3 linked regions of the Callithrix jacchus genome follow. The protein of the gene in region 2 interacts with the protein of the main gene of each other region in a biochemical or structural test. Links are inferred from orthologs where the notes say so. Each region holds a gene or a part of one and is shown on either strand. Other genes may lie near its edges.

What was found.
Region 1: of the proteins of UBE2J2 (region 2) and UBA1, one has a biochemical effect on the other in vitro, tested with the Homo sapiens proteins (2 studies listed by BioGRID). The link is inferred for Callithrix jacchus from reciprocal best matches to the Homo sapiens genes UBE2J2 and UBA1.
Region 3: the proteins of UBE2J2 (region 2) and MARCHF6 form a complex in vitro, tested with the Homo sapiens proteins (2 studies listed by BioGRID, with this or other methods). The link is inferred for Callithrix jacchus from reciprocal best matches to the Homo sapiens genes UBE2J2 and MARCHF6.

The regions. Positions count from the first base shown.
Region 1 is NC_133524.1:48,168,911-48,172,554, reverse strand, and holds part of UBA1 (ubiquitin-like modifier-activating enzyme 1), read right to left. Parts: intron 1,767-3,644; coding exon 1,702-1,766; intron 1,465-1,701; coding exon 1,269-1,464; intron 552-1,268; coding exon 477-551; intron 359-476; coding exon 169-358; intron 1-168. UniProt on the Homo sapiens protein: Catalyzes the first step in ubiquitin conjugation to mark cellular proteins for degradation through the ubiquitin-proteasome system.
Region 2 is NC_133508.1:39,463,337-39,467,648, forward strand, and holds the start of UBE2J2 (ubiquitin-conjugating enzyme E2 J2), read right to left. Parts: upstream 2,841-4,312; 5' UTR 2,571-2,840; intron 556-2,570; 5' UTR 437-555; coding exon 422-436; intron 1-421. UniProt on the Homo sapiens protein: Catalyzes the covalent attachment of ubiquitin to other proteins. Seems to function in the selective degradation of misfolded membrane proteins from the endoplasmic reticulum (ERAD).
Region 3 is NC_133503.1:195,250,745-195,254,388, reverse strand, and holds part of MARCHF6 (E3 ubiquitin-protein ligase MARCHF6), read left to right. Parts: intron 1-33; coding exon 34-114; intron 115-345; coding exon 346-414; intron 415-494; coding exon 495-569; intron 570-1,367; coding exon 1,368-1,502; intron 1,503-3,644. UniProt on the Homo sapiens protein: Endoplasmic reticulum membrane-associated E3 ubiquitin ligase that plays a critical role in mitigating endoplasmic reticulum stress, the regulation of cholesterol and lipid homeostasis, and ferroptosis.

The sequences.
Region 1 (3,644 bases), on a different chromosome or scaffold from region 2:
CAACCGACCCTCTTCATGTTAAAGGGAGGCTCAAACGAAGGTATGGGTAAACCTCAGGCCTGGGGTCCCAGAGCAGAGCAGAGCCAGGGGTACAGGACTGGTGGGGACGCTGGACTAGGCAGGGGACATGTGGAGGTGACTCCTGGCCAACTGGCCAAACACCCTCACCAACAGAGGCATTGGCGCTCTGCAGCTCCTGGTCAGAAACGTGGATCTTGACGCCAGATTTGGGGGTGAATTCAGGGACCTGCACAGACTGCAGGAGTGTGGCCACAGCAGCTCGGTCCTGAGAGCCTGTCAGCCCATAGGTCTGGGCAAACAGGTTGGCAGCAGCCATCACATAGTCCAGATGCAGGGGCTAGGAGAAGGCAGGGCAGGAAAAGGTGAGCACATAGTCCTTGAGTGGGGAACCGCCACCTCCTTCCCACCTACTCACCCTCCACCTGACCCCAGGAGACCCCAGAGAGGAGACTTACGTTGTTGACATCAAAGGTGAGCGGGTGTGGACAGCGTTTGGGCCCAGACCAGAACGGGGCTCCCGAGCTGGTGAGCTATAAGGGATGAAGAGATTTTTGAGAACAGGACCTGACAGTGAAGGCCTCTCTGACAACCTTGACGCTTCACGTAGGCCCCAGAGGTGCCCCTAACTCACTATCTTGAGTTGGGTACTCGATGGGGGCTGGAGTCAACCACAAATGACCCCAACTGTAGGGTCCCACAAGGTTGAACCAGAGATCAGGCTGAGAGAACAATTACCAATCCCTGGGAAGGCATTTTGTGCTAGATAGCCTATCATTTAACAAATTCTCATGGATTACAGGGCATTGTACTAACTTCATATTAATAAATACCAGTTAATCCTCCCCAAACCCCCCATGAGGTAGATTACTATTATTTCTACTTCACAGATGAGGAAACTGAGGTACAGAGAGAAGTTACGTGATTTGCCTAAGTTCGAGTCTGGATTTGAACCCACATTGATTCCTGTGCTCTTAACCCCAGAATTTCTCCCCCACACTCCCTACAGCCCTGACGGGGAATTAGGTATGACTCAGTCCATACCACAGTCAAGGGAAACAGCGACCAAGCCTCTTGCTCAAAGGAACTAGGGTGGGAAAAAAGCAGGTCAGGCTCAATCACTCTTCTCAGATCCCCATGCCTCAGGGCACCTGCTACAGCTGGACTGAGGACCCACACTGAGAGCCCACAGCAGGCTCCCATTTCAGGGAAACACATTCTGCCAAATGCACCCAACAAATGGGCATTACCTGGTCAGGAGGGAAGTTGTGCAGCAGCTGCCGGATGTTGTTTGAGTACTGGGTGTGCCAGTGGTGGCAGGCCCAGGTCACGCAGTCAGCCCAGGTCTGTGGTCGCTGCAGCACCAGGCTGCGCTGCACAGCCTCCAGCACCTCCAAGGGCTGGGTGCCTGCCAGCCGCAGTGTTCGCTCCACAAACTTGGGGTCTCTATCAGGAATTGAAGAGAGAGGACAGGATTATACCTCAGCCTCAGGAATGGGCTTCAGAGCAATCTTACTTTCTCCGTGGAAAACTAGTCCCGACCCCTAACAGCATGAGGCCCAAGCAGCCACTCATTCATGTGAAAAGTATACCTGGTGCCAAGTGTGTTACTGTGATGAGGAGAGCAGGCGGGATGCCCTGGCTGGTGGAGGGACAGGGCAAGAGGGCACTCAAGTTACTCACGTGAGGTACTGGTTGACGTTTTCTGCTGGCTGCTTGAAGAGGCCTTCAAACTCATCCCGAGCCCACTGCAGACACAGCAAACGGATTACATGTGGCCACAGTTGACAAAATGGGTTTCCGCAGACATTAGAAAGATCATTAGTGAATAAAGCAAGGAGGCGGCACACAGCTGTTCTGCAAGGCTCCCCAGCCTTCCCCACTCCCCCACCTTAATCGAAAAACCAGGCCGGGCGCAGTGGCTCACGCCTGCAATCCTAGCACTTTAGGAAGCTAAGGCGGTGGTTCATCTGAGGTCATGAATTCGAGACCAGCCTGACCAACATGGTGAAACCCTGCCTCTACTAAAAATACAAAACTTAGCTGGGTATGATGGCAGACGCCTGTAATCTCAGCTACTCGGGAGGCTGATGCAGGAGAATTGCTTGAACCTGGGAGGCGGAGGTTGCAGTGAGCTGAGATCACACTACTGCACTCTAGCCTGGGCAACAGAGCAAAACTCCGTCTCAAAAGAAAAAGGCCAGGCCTGGTGGCTCAGGCCTGTAATCCCAGCACTTTGGGAGGCTGAGGTGGGCAGATCATTTGAGGTCAGGAGTCCAAGACCAGCCTGGCCAACATGGTGAAACCCTGTTTCTACTAAAAATACAAAAATTAGCCAGCCGTGGTGGCACATTGCCTGTAATCCCAGCTACTTGGGAGGCTGAGGCAGAATTGCTTGAACCCAAGGGGTGGAATTTGCAGTGAGACTGTGCTACTGCACTCCACCCTGGGCAACAAAGCGAGACTCCACCTCAAAAAAAAAAAAGAAAAAGAAAAACCAATGAACTTTATCTGCGCAGCGGTTACAATAGTGTTATGCACATGTGGAAAACTGTTTTGTTTGAGACAAAGTCTCGTTCTGTCACCCAAGCTGGAATGCAGCAGCACAATCATGGCTCACAGTAGCCTTGACCTCCCAGGCTTAAACAATCCTCCCACCTCAGCCTCCTGAGTAGCTGGGACCACAGGCACATGCCACCACACCTGGCTAATTTTTAAAAATTTATTGTAGAGACAGGGCCGTGCTATATTGCCCAGACTGGTCTTGAACTCCTGGCCTCAAGCAATCCTCACATCTTGGTCTCCTGAATGCTGAGATTAGAGGTGTGAGCCACGCCTAAAAATATATTAAGATCTGTGTACCTCATTCTAGATATGTTATGCCTTCATAAAAAAGAAAAACTTCAGTTAAGTATATCTTACCATAATTTTTAAAAAAGAAAAAGAAAAAACTCAGACCAAACCACAAATGATCCCTATCCAGGCCCCGAGGACTCGGCAGAAAACAAGACAGAGGCCGGACACAGCGGCTCACACATGTAATCCCAGCACTTTTTGAAGCTGAGGCAGGTGGATCACTTGAGCCCAGGAGTTTGCAACCTGTCTGGTCAATATAACAGGAACACACACACACACTTCCCAGGAGTTCAAGGTTGCAGTGAGCTATGAATTGTGCCAACGCACTCTAACCTGAGTGACAGAGTGAGATCCTGTCTCCAAAAATAAAATAGCAAACAAGACAGAGCTTCTGGCCTCTGAGAATTCCTAAGACAGTTTGCAGTCATTAGTGTGGTGGTTTGGAGGGTACAAATGTTAGAAATTCAGGTTTAGATTTCAGCTGTGCGCATATTACCTAGTCTTGTGACTTCAGGCACGCAGGGTAACATCTTTACCTCCATGCCTCATCTCTATAACAGATGTTACAACAGTAATACCTACTTCATGGGGTTGCTAGGAAGAAATGTGCAAATACGTATATATTTAAAGCTTGTTTAAAACAGTGCCAGGCACACAGTAAATGCCAAGTGGTTCACAATAGCCCTGTCAGGTAGATACTACTGTCATTCCCATTTTACAGAGCAGGAATCTGAGGCACAGAGAGGTTAAGTTCAAGGTTACACATGACC
Region 2 (4,312 bases):
CCCTTCTGCCATGATTTTCAGTTTCCTGAGGCCTCCCCAGCCACACAGAACTGAGAGTCTATTAAACCCCCTTTCTTTATAAATTACCGAATCTCAGCCTGGCACGGTGGCTCATGCCTCTAATCCGAGCACTTTGAGAAGCCAAGGCAGCCTGCTCAACATGGTGAAACCCTGTCTCTACTAAAAATTAGTCAGGTGTGGTGACACATGCCTGAAATCTCAGCTACTCAGGAGGCTAGGGCAGGAGAATCACTTGAACATGGGAGGCAGAGGTTGCAGTGAGCTGAGACCACGCCACTGCACTCCAGCCTGGGCAACACAGCAAGACTCTATCTCAAAAAAAAAAAAAAAAAAAAAGAAGACCGAGTCTCACCGAGTCTCAGATACATCTTTACAACAGTGGGAGAACCAACTTGCATACCTGCAGAACAGCCATATACGCCGGCTCCCTTCAGTCTCCGCCCACAAGAGATCTCCAGACTCTTGGCCTCTTTGCCTGGTTTATTCCTCCTCAGAGAACCATCACCACCAGGCTGTTTAGTGTCTGCTCCTAACCTGAGGATGGTAACAGCCAGGGCTTGGCTGCTCACCCCACACACCCAAGGCCCAGAGAGCAGGGCACAGCCAGGGCACCCACAGCATGCTCCCAAATGCATAGCCTAAGAAGCACCACCCACCTCTGCTTCTTGTCCTGGGGTCCCTGACCCTTGTAAGCCTTGTTCACCATGTCCTTCCCACTCCCATTGTCCAAACACAGAATGTCATCACTTCTCCCATCAACACTCCAGCAGCCTCCCACCCCTGCCCAACACCGTGGGTTCAGAAGGTCTGAGCTTCTAGTTTCTCCCCATTTCAAGGCCCTCTTGTACCCCCTAAGTCAACACACTGTTCAGATCACCCACTCGCCCAGCCACCCTCATGATACCCCACAGCCAAGCAAATAAACATCAACACCTCCTCCTGCCTGCCAAGCCCCTGACAGAGTAGCCCATACATACAGCCCTCCTCATTCCTAAATCCCAAGACCCAGCACAGTCGGGGCCCCCTTCCAAACCTCTGACTGACACACTCACTCCTTCTCACAGCTGTTTCCCAGCCCAGACTGTACTGTAAACTCTCCTAGGCCCTTCCGGGCCTAGCTGGAACCACTGCCTTCATAGGCCTCCCTGATTTCCCTGCCAAATGCCTCCCGCTTGGCCTCCATGTGACCCCATACACCACGCAGGGCCCTTTTGGGCCCCAGTACAGGCAAGGGCAGGCTCCTCTGCCTAAGGAGTGTCTCCCCAGGAGGAGGGCTACGGTCGTACCCGGGAAGGAAGTGCTCCCACACAGCAGCATCCCCAGCTCGTGGCTCAAGAAGCCAATGGGCCAGGGAGCTCCCCTTGGGCCAACACCTGGTGGTGGACACAGCCATGACCCCAAGCAGCACCGCCAAACGGGCTGTCCTTTCAAAAGCTCACCCTGAAGCTAACACTCCGCCATATACAAAATGATGCACTGGACATTTCTATTGCAGCTGCGTCTGGACTTAGCTAAGTGGCCAGGCTGCAGGAAAGTTTATGGAGAGCTGTGCAAAAATAAAACAGGTTCCATCTGGTCAGCCACAAGAAAGTTTCCCTCCCATACTTACTTTGAGAGGCTTTTAAAATCATGTTCATGATTCAACTGCTGTTTTCCCAGCCACCCTTCCTAAGCTTCACACAGAACAGCGTTCTCTGTGCCTCGGGAAACCAGAGGGCTATTTCCCTCAATTCTTATCATCCCAAAATGACAGCAGGAAGGACAAGGAAAATAAAAATCCACAAAGGGGCCGGGAATGGTGGCTCAAGACTGTAATCCCGGCACTTTGGGAGGCCAAGGTGGTCAGATCACCTGAGGTCAGGAGTTGGAGACCAGCCTGGCTAACATGGTGAAACCCTATCTCTACTAAAAACACAAAAAATTAGCCAAGTGTGGTGGCAGGTGCCTGTAATTCCAGCTACTCGGGAGGCTGAGGGGGGAGAATCACTTGAACTCAGGAGACAGAGGTTGCAGGGAGCTAAGATCACACCACTGCACTCCAGCCTGGGCAAGAGAGCAAGATCCTGCCTCAAAAAAAAAAAAAAAAAAAAAAATCCGCAAAGGAAGCAAACTCTGAGAACAAGTTTGAAGCATATGTGTCTCAGGTTCCCTTCAGACACGTCTCACAGACAAGAGACATCGTGTGTATAGTATCATCCTGCTGAAAGAGCTGATGATTTTAAAACAAAAAGGCACAGAAAAAAAAGTTAACACACGGAAACAGCATTAAAGCAGGTGAATCACAGAGAGCAACCGTGTCAGGCACTATGAGGTGGTGGCTGCCCAGCGTCACCCTGTCCCTCTTTCTCTGGACAGCTCTTTCCTGCTTAGGGGATGTGGCAGAAAACGTTGGCCTGACCCATTGGCCGGGCGAGCGGCACACCTAGGCCCAGGAATCCACGGAAGTCTCTGCTCCACCAGGACTGCTCCGGAGACAGGATGGGAGCCCCGGCCGGTAGAGGCGGAACATTCACCTGTCACTCATTCATGCACGCACCTGCCCTGCTCACCTGCCCGTCACTCAGGCACGCCCCCGCCTAGAGTGGAAGTCAGGGGTGCCAGGCCACGCAAGTGACGGACTGCGATTCCAGGCACCCAGACCCAACCATGCCCTAGGCTCAGGGGCTGGACTTTGGATTAAGCGAGGTCCTCACGACCCTCTATCCGGAAGCCAGATTACACGTGCAGGTTCCCCTGGAGCAGGGCGCAGGGCCACCGGCCAGGCCCAGCCGAGCCTTGCGTGCGCTCCTCGCCGTCCTTCCACCGAGCAGAGACCCGACCTTTCGGCCGCTTCCTCTTTGGGTCCGGCAAGAGGCTGGCAACCGGCCTCGAGTGAAATACACACGCGCTAAGTGGCAGGCACTGAAAAGGAGGCCAGGAGGTGACACCCGGCCAGAGGCGGGGAGGACGCGCAGCTCAGGGCCGGGTCCTAGGCCCGGGTCTCTCCCCCGCCCGCCGGCGCGGAGCCGCACCGGCCCTGAGCGCCGTCCCGGGCACGCTCGTTGTCTCGGGGTTTCAGCGTTCGGGGGCAGCCCTCCCCCGACAGACTCCCGGGATCCATTTACCAACCAGGACCAAGGCTGCCCGTCCTGGCGGCCGCGGCAAGTGTCCCAACGGACAAGGGGCCCTTTCGCTTTCGCGGGAGTCGCGGCCGAGGGGCCGAGTCCGCGACCTGCCCCTGACCCGGAGCTCCGGGCGCCCGCCGTAACCGACCTCGGGTTCCGGGCAGGAGAGCTCGGGACCGGACCCCGCGGGAGGCGGCGCGAACTGAGGGGCGTCGCGCAGGGTCTCCCGCAGCCCCGGGTCGCCGCCGTGGCCGGCTCCGGCGGGGTAGAGAGCGGGCCCGAGGACCCGGCGCAGGCCTGAGAGCGCGCTCACCTCTCCCTGTCGCCGCGCGTGGGCCGCCGCCGCGCTCAGGCTCGCCGTGGTCGAGGCCGGAGCAGGGTGCGGACGAGCGGGGCCCGCGCCCGAAACAGCCGCACCGCGCCGGGACTGGGCCCACCGAACCCGCCGCTGCGCCTCCACCGCCTCAGCCTCCAAAATGGCCGCTCGCGGGGCGGGGCCAGCTTCGCTTCCGTTTCTGGTTCGCGGCACGGAGGCAGGGCGGCCGCTCTAGGCAGCCTGGCGGACCGCGCCCACGACTCTCTGTCGCCGCCCGCCGGGGAAGGAAGGGTCGGCGCGTGCGCACTGACGGGCGGCTCCCGGCGCCGTGAGCGGGTGCTGAGAGTCCGGGATAAGGAGGCCGCGCCGTCCCCTCTCTAAATGCCCCGGCCCAGGGCGGCAGGCCCGGCTGAAGGCGACCCCGGCCGAGAAAGGACCCCTACCCTCCCGCCTCCCGGCTCCGGGCTCCCGCCTTGTCCTCCGCTCTCGCCGGCCCCAGGGGAGGCGCTGCGCGGACCGGGCGTGAAGCGTCCCGGAGCCCTGGAGGCCTGGCTGGGCGGAGGGTTGGGCGCCAGGGAGTTCAGAGCTCTCTCGTTCAGGGACTCGAGAATGTCACGCGTGGGATCGCTTTGCAACCCACGCCCGCGTCCCAGCCCCGGGTCTCCCTCACCCCAGCACCCTCCCCTCAGGTGCCTGACCGAGCCCAGGTCGCCCCTGGCCTCCCCCTGGCCAGACTTCAGAAAGCACTAGGCACTGCCTCCTCTCCACCTGTCTCTCTGACCCCAGACGCAGTGGGAGGGAGCGGAGGTGGTGGGGCGCTGGGATGGGACGCTGGGGGCGGGCACACGGCCCACCGCCTCCCTGAGAGGCA
Region 3 (3,644 bases), on a different chromosome or scaffold from region 2:
ATTAAATTTTATTTACTTTTTTCTTATTTACAGGTCCAAGCATCTCATTTTGAAGGCCTAATCACCACCATAGTTGGGTATATACTTCTAGCAATAACACTGATAATTTGTCATGTATCCTTTAATGAACCAACTTGGGTGTTCAGTAATCTCATTCATACCAAAGAACTCTTCATTAATGGTGAAACTTGTCTCTCTGCTTGTTCTCTTAGTGAAAGTTGTAGGTATTTGCAGTAAGGGTCAGTGTAGACAAAATGTGTAATAAATTAATTCTGTCAAAAAATACTAAGTAGTTGCCTGTTTCATTGTACCTTTACTGAATTTTTCCTTAACTAGATGCTGTAGGGCTTGGCAACTCTTGTGAAATTTCATAGGTCTCGTCGCTTACTAGGAGTCTGCTATATTGTTGTTAAGGTAATTCCTGTTATAACTTAAGATTGGAAATGATTTCTCCTACACTTGGGTGATACTGATGACCTTTATTTTCACTTAAGGTCTCTTTGTTAGTGGTGGTAGAAATTGGAGTCTTCCCTCTCATTTGTGGTTGGTGGCTGGATATCTGTTCCTTGGTAAGTTGAGTATTCATTACTGTATAATAGCATAATTTCAAAGCTTCAGAAAAGGAAGTCTTCAGTGTAGGTTCTTTTTAAAGGAAAGTAAATATTTGATAATTTGCTTATTCTTTTGGCAAGTGTATTAGTATAGGATCTTAATGTTAATTTTTCTAGAGTACCTGAGTTTTTTGAGGCTTTTTGCAAATTTTTGATGTCATGATATTTTGGCTGGAATCTTTCTAATAACTAGTGGAGAATTTTATTACCCAGTTTGCACTCTCAAATTTTTATAGATAATGCTAAGATATTATATACATAGAGAATAATTTGATAAGGAAACTATCTTTGTAGTAATAAATTCCACTCTAATCATTTGGTTTAACTAAGATGCTCAGTCTTGATTACTCTTTAATTGCTGTTAGAGATAATCAGTTTTTGATTTTTTCAAAAATATTTTATGTGTAGAAAAGCTGCCTTTGGTTCTGAGATAACATTTACCCTCCCATACCTTACTTCTAAAACTTAAAAATGCAGACCTGTAACCAAGAAAAGAAGGTTTTACCTTCATCAAAAATAACTCTTTAATAGAATCAACATTAATAAAGCTTTTACCAATTGGTTATCATTCTTTATATCTGAGGCAGTAGCCAATCTTGTATATAGGTCTAGGACACCATGAAATGACATAAATAAATTGCATTTCTAGAAATCATTCCTCGCATACATATTGATTATTTATTTCCTAGAAGATGGAAATGTTAACTTTGCAAATGTAGGGGGCACACATTTCTTACCTGTCCTCTCTTGGCTCAGGAAATGTTTGATGCCACTCTGAAAGATCGAGAACTGAGCTTTCAGTCTGCTCCAGGTACTACCATGTTTCTGCATTGGCTAGTGGGAATGGTGTATGTCTTCTACTTTGCCTCCTTCATTCTATTACTGAGAGAGGTAAGTCTACAGGGAAGTGCTGATGCCATACATTTATCAAAAGGACTTTTGCTTTTACTGCCAGTCATGTCTCAAAGGCTATGATGATTTCCTAACTAAATTATATTCTCTAGTATTTTATTCTGAAAGGGAATAACTTATAGGGGACTTTGACTTGATTGCTTTAAACGGTTTCAGTTGTCTTCATAATCGGCAAGTTTTAATCTTTCTGAGTTGTAAAAATGATTCAACTGAGGAAAAAAGTAAGAGTACTCATTTTATTCTACTTCATATATATTTTAGCCATCCTCTAATACAGACTCTTATAATTCTGTATGATGTGAATGTGTCTCAGACTTCAAGGAAATGTAATGCTGGAAGTAACCGAAAGGATATGGCTTTGCAGAATCGAACATTTAAAATGGTTTTGATTTAGGTACCTTAAGTATAGAATTATAGAGGATTTTTTATGATTCCAATTCACTGGCCTGATGGGTACCTTTATTTATTTAACTAATTAATTTATTTTTGATACTGAGTCTTCCTCTTTTGTCCAGGCTGGAATGCAGTGCCATGATCTCAGCTTACTGCAACCCCCGCCTTCTGAGTTCAAGTGATTCTCCTGCCTCAGCCTCCCAAGTAGCTGGAACTACAGGCACCCGCCACCATGCCCAGCTAATTTTTGTATTTTTAGTAGAGACAGGGTTTCACCATGTGGCCAGGCTGGTCTTGAACTGCTGACCTCAAATGATCCGCCCACCTCGGCCACCCAAAGTGCTGGGATTACAGGTGTGAGTCACTGCACCTGGCCTGATACCTTTATTAATCCTATTTTTGGAATCTGGTTCTTACTGATTTGAAGATGATGAAAGCAGATGAATATTTGATTAGTGTATATCTCAAGCTCAGTCATTCCCCAAATACTGAATGTTCACTGTGTGCCAGACACTATACTGTCTTCTGGGATATCAGTGAGAAACAAAGGCACAATTCCTCAATGTTGATGAAGATGTACAGGGTGTGGAGGAGAAGGTTGACAATTCTAGTGGGAATGGAACGCAAAAGCATAAAGGCTCAATGCTGCTCCTTGTGTGCTTTGCTCTTTGCAAGATTTGAGGAAGAGGAAGAGGGTTCAGGGGCCAAAGCATTCTCCTGAATCATACAGTATGTTCAGTAAATTCTCTTAGTAACTGAAGCTTTCACTTTCTTTGAAACAAATGAGTGCTGTGACACGTACCTGTAGTCCCAGCCATTCAGGAGGCCAAGGTGGGAGGATTGCTTGGGTCCAGGAGTTCTGGGCTGTAGTGCATTATGCCGACTGGGTGTCCACACTAAGTTCGGCATCAATATGGTGCCCTCCCAGGAGCCGGGGACCACCAGGTTGCCTAAGGAGGGGTGAACCGGCCCAGGTCAGAAACGGAGCAGGTCAAAACTCCCGTGCTGATCACACCTGTGAATAGCCACTGCACTCCCACCTGGGCAACATAGCGAGACCCTGTCAATTTAAAAAAAGAAAGAAAGAAATGATTGAGAACTAAAGCAACTGCAGAAACATGTTTCTTAAAAATGTTTCTTAAATATGTGAACTCCAAATTACTTCATTAAGTGAATAAAATGTTTTATAATGTTTTTTTTCATTTTATCAATGTGATGGTCTTTGTTGATATAAAATTTGGAACTTAGGCAGAACCTTAGAAATAATGTATTGTAACTCCCTTGTTTAGAAGATGGAGAACACCAAGGAGGGGTGAAATGGAGCAGGACAAAACTCCCGTGCCGATCAGTAGTGAGATCGCAACTGTGAATAACCACTGCACTCCAGTCTGGGCAACATAGCGAGACCCTGTCTCTAAAAAAACAAAAAATGGAGAAGTTTGGGCACATTAGATGTGTTACAGACGATAGTTCAGTGAGCTTAGACCATGTAGGACTAGTACCCAGACTAGTACCCACATGGAGTAAAGGAGGACCTTTTCATTCACAGGGAGAAGGTATAGATAGTAAAATGAAGATTCGGAGGTTGTAGGGTTTTTAAAAATTAATCCCTCTGTGGAAGTGTAAGACTGAAATCAGATCTTCTATTTAGGACGTTTGTAAATTGCAGCATAACCCTTTTACTATAGTAATGGTTGTAGTCATTTATTTTTCATCTCAGAGGTCTAT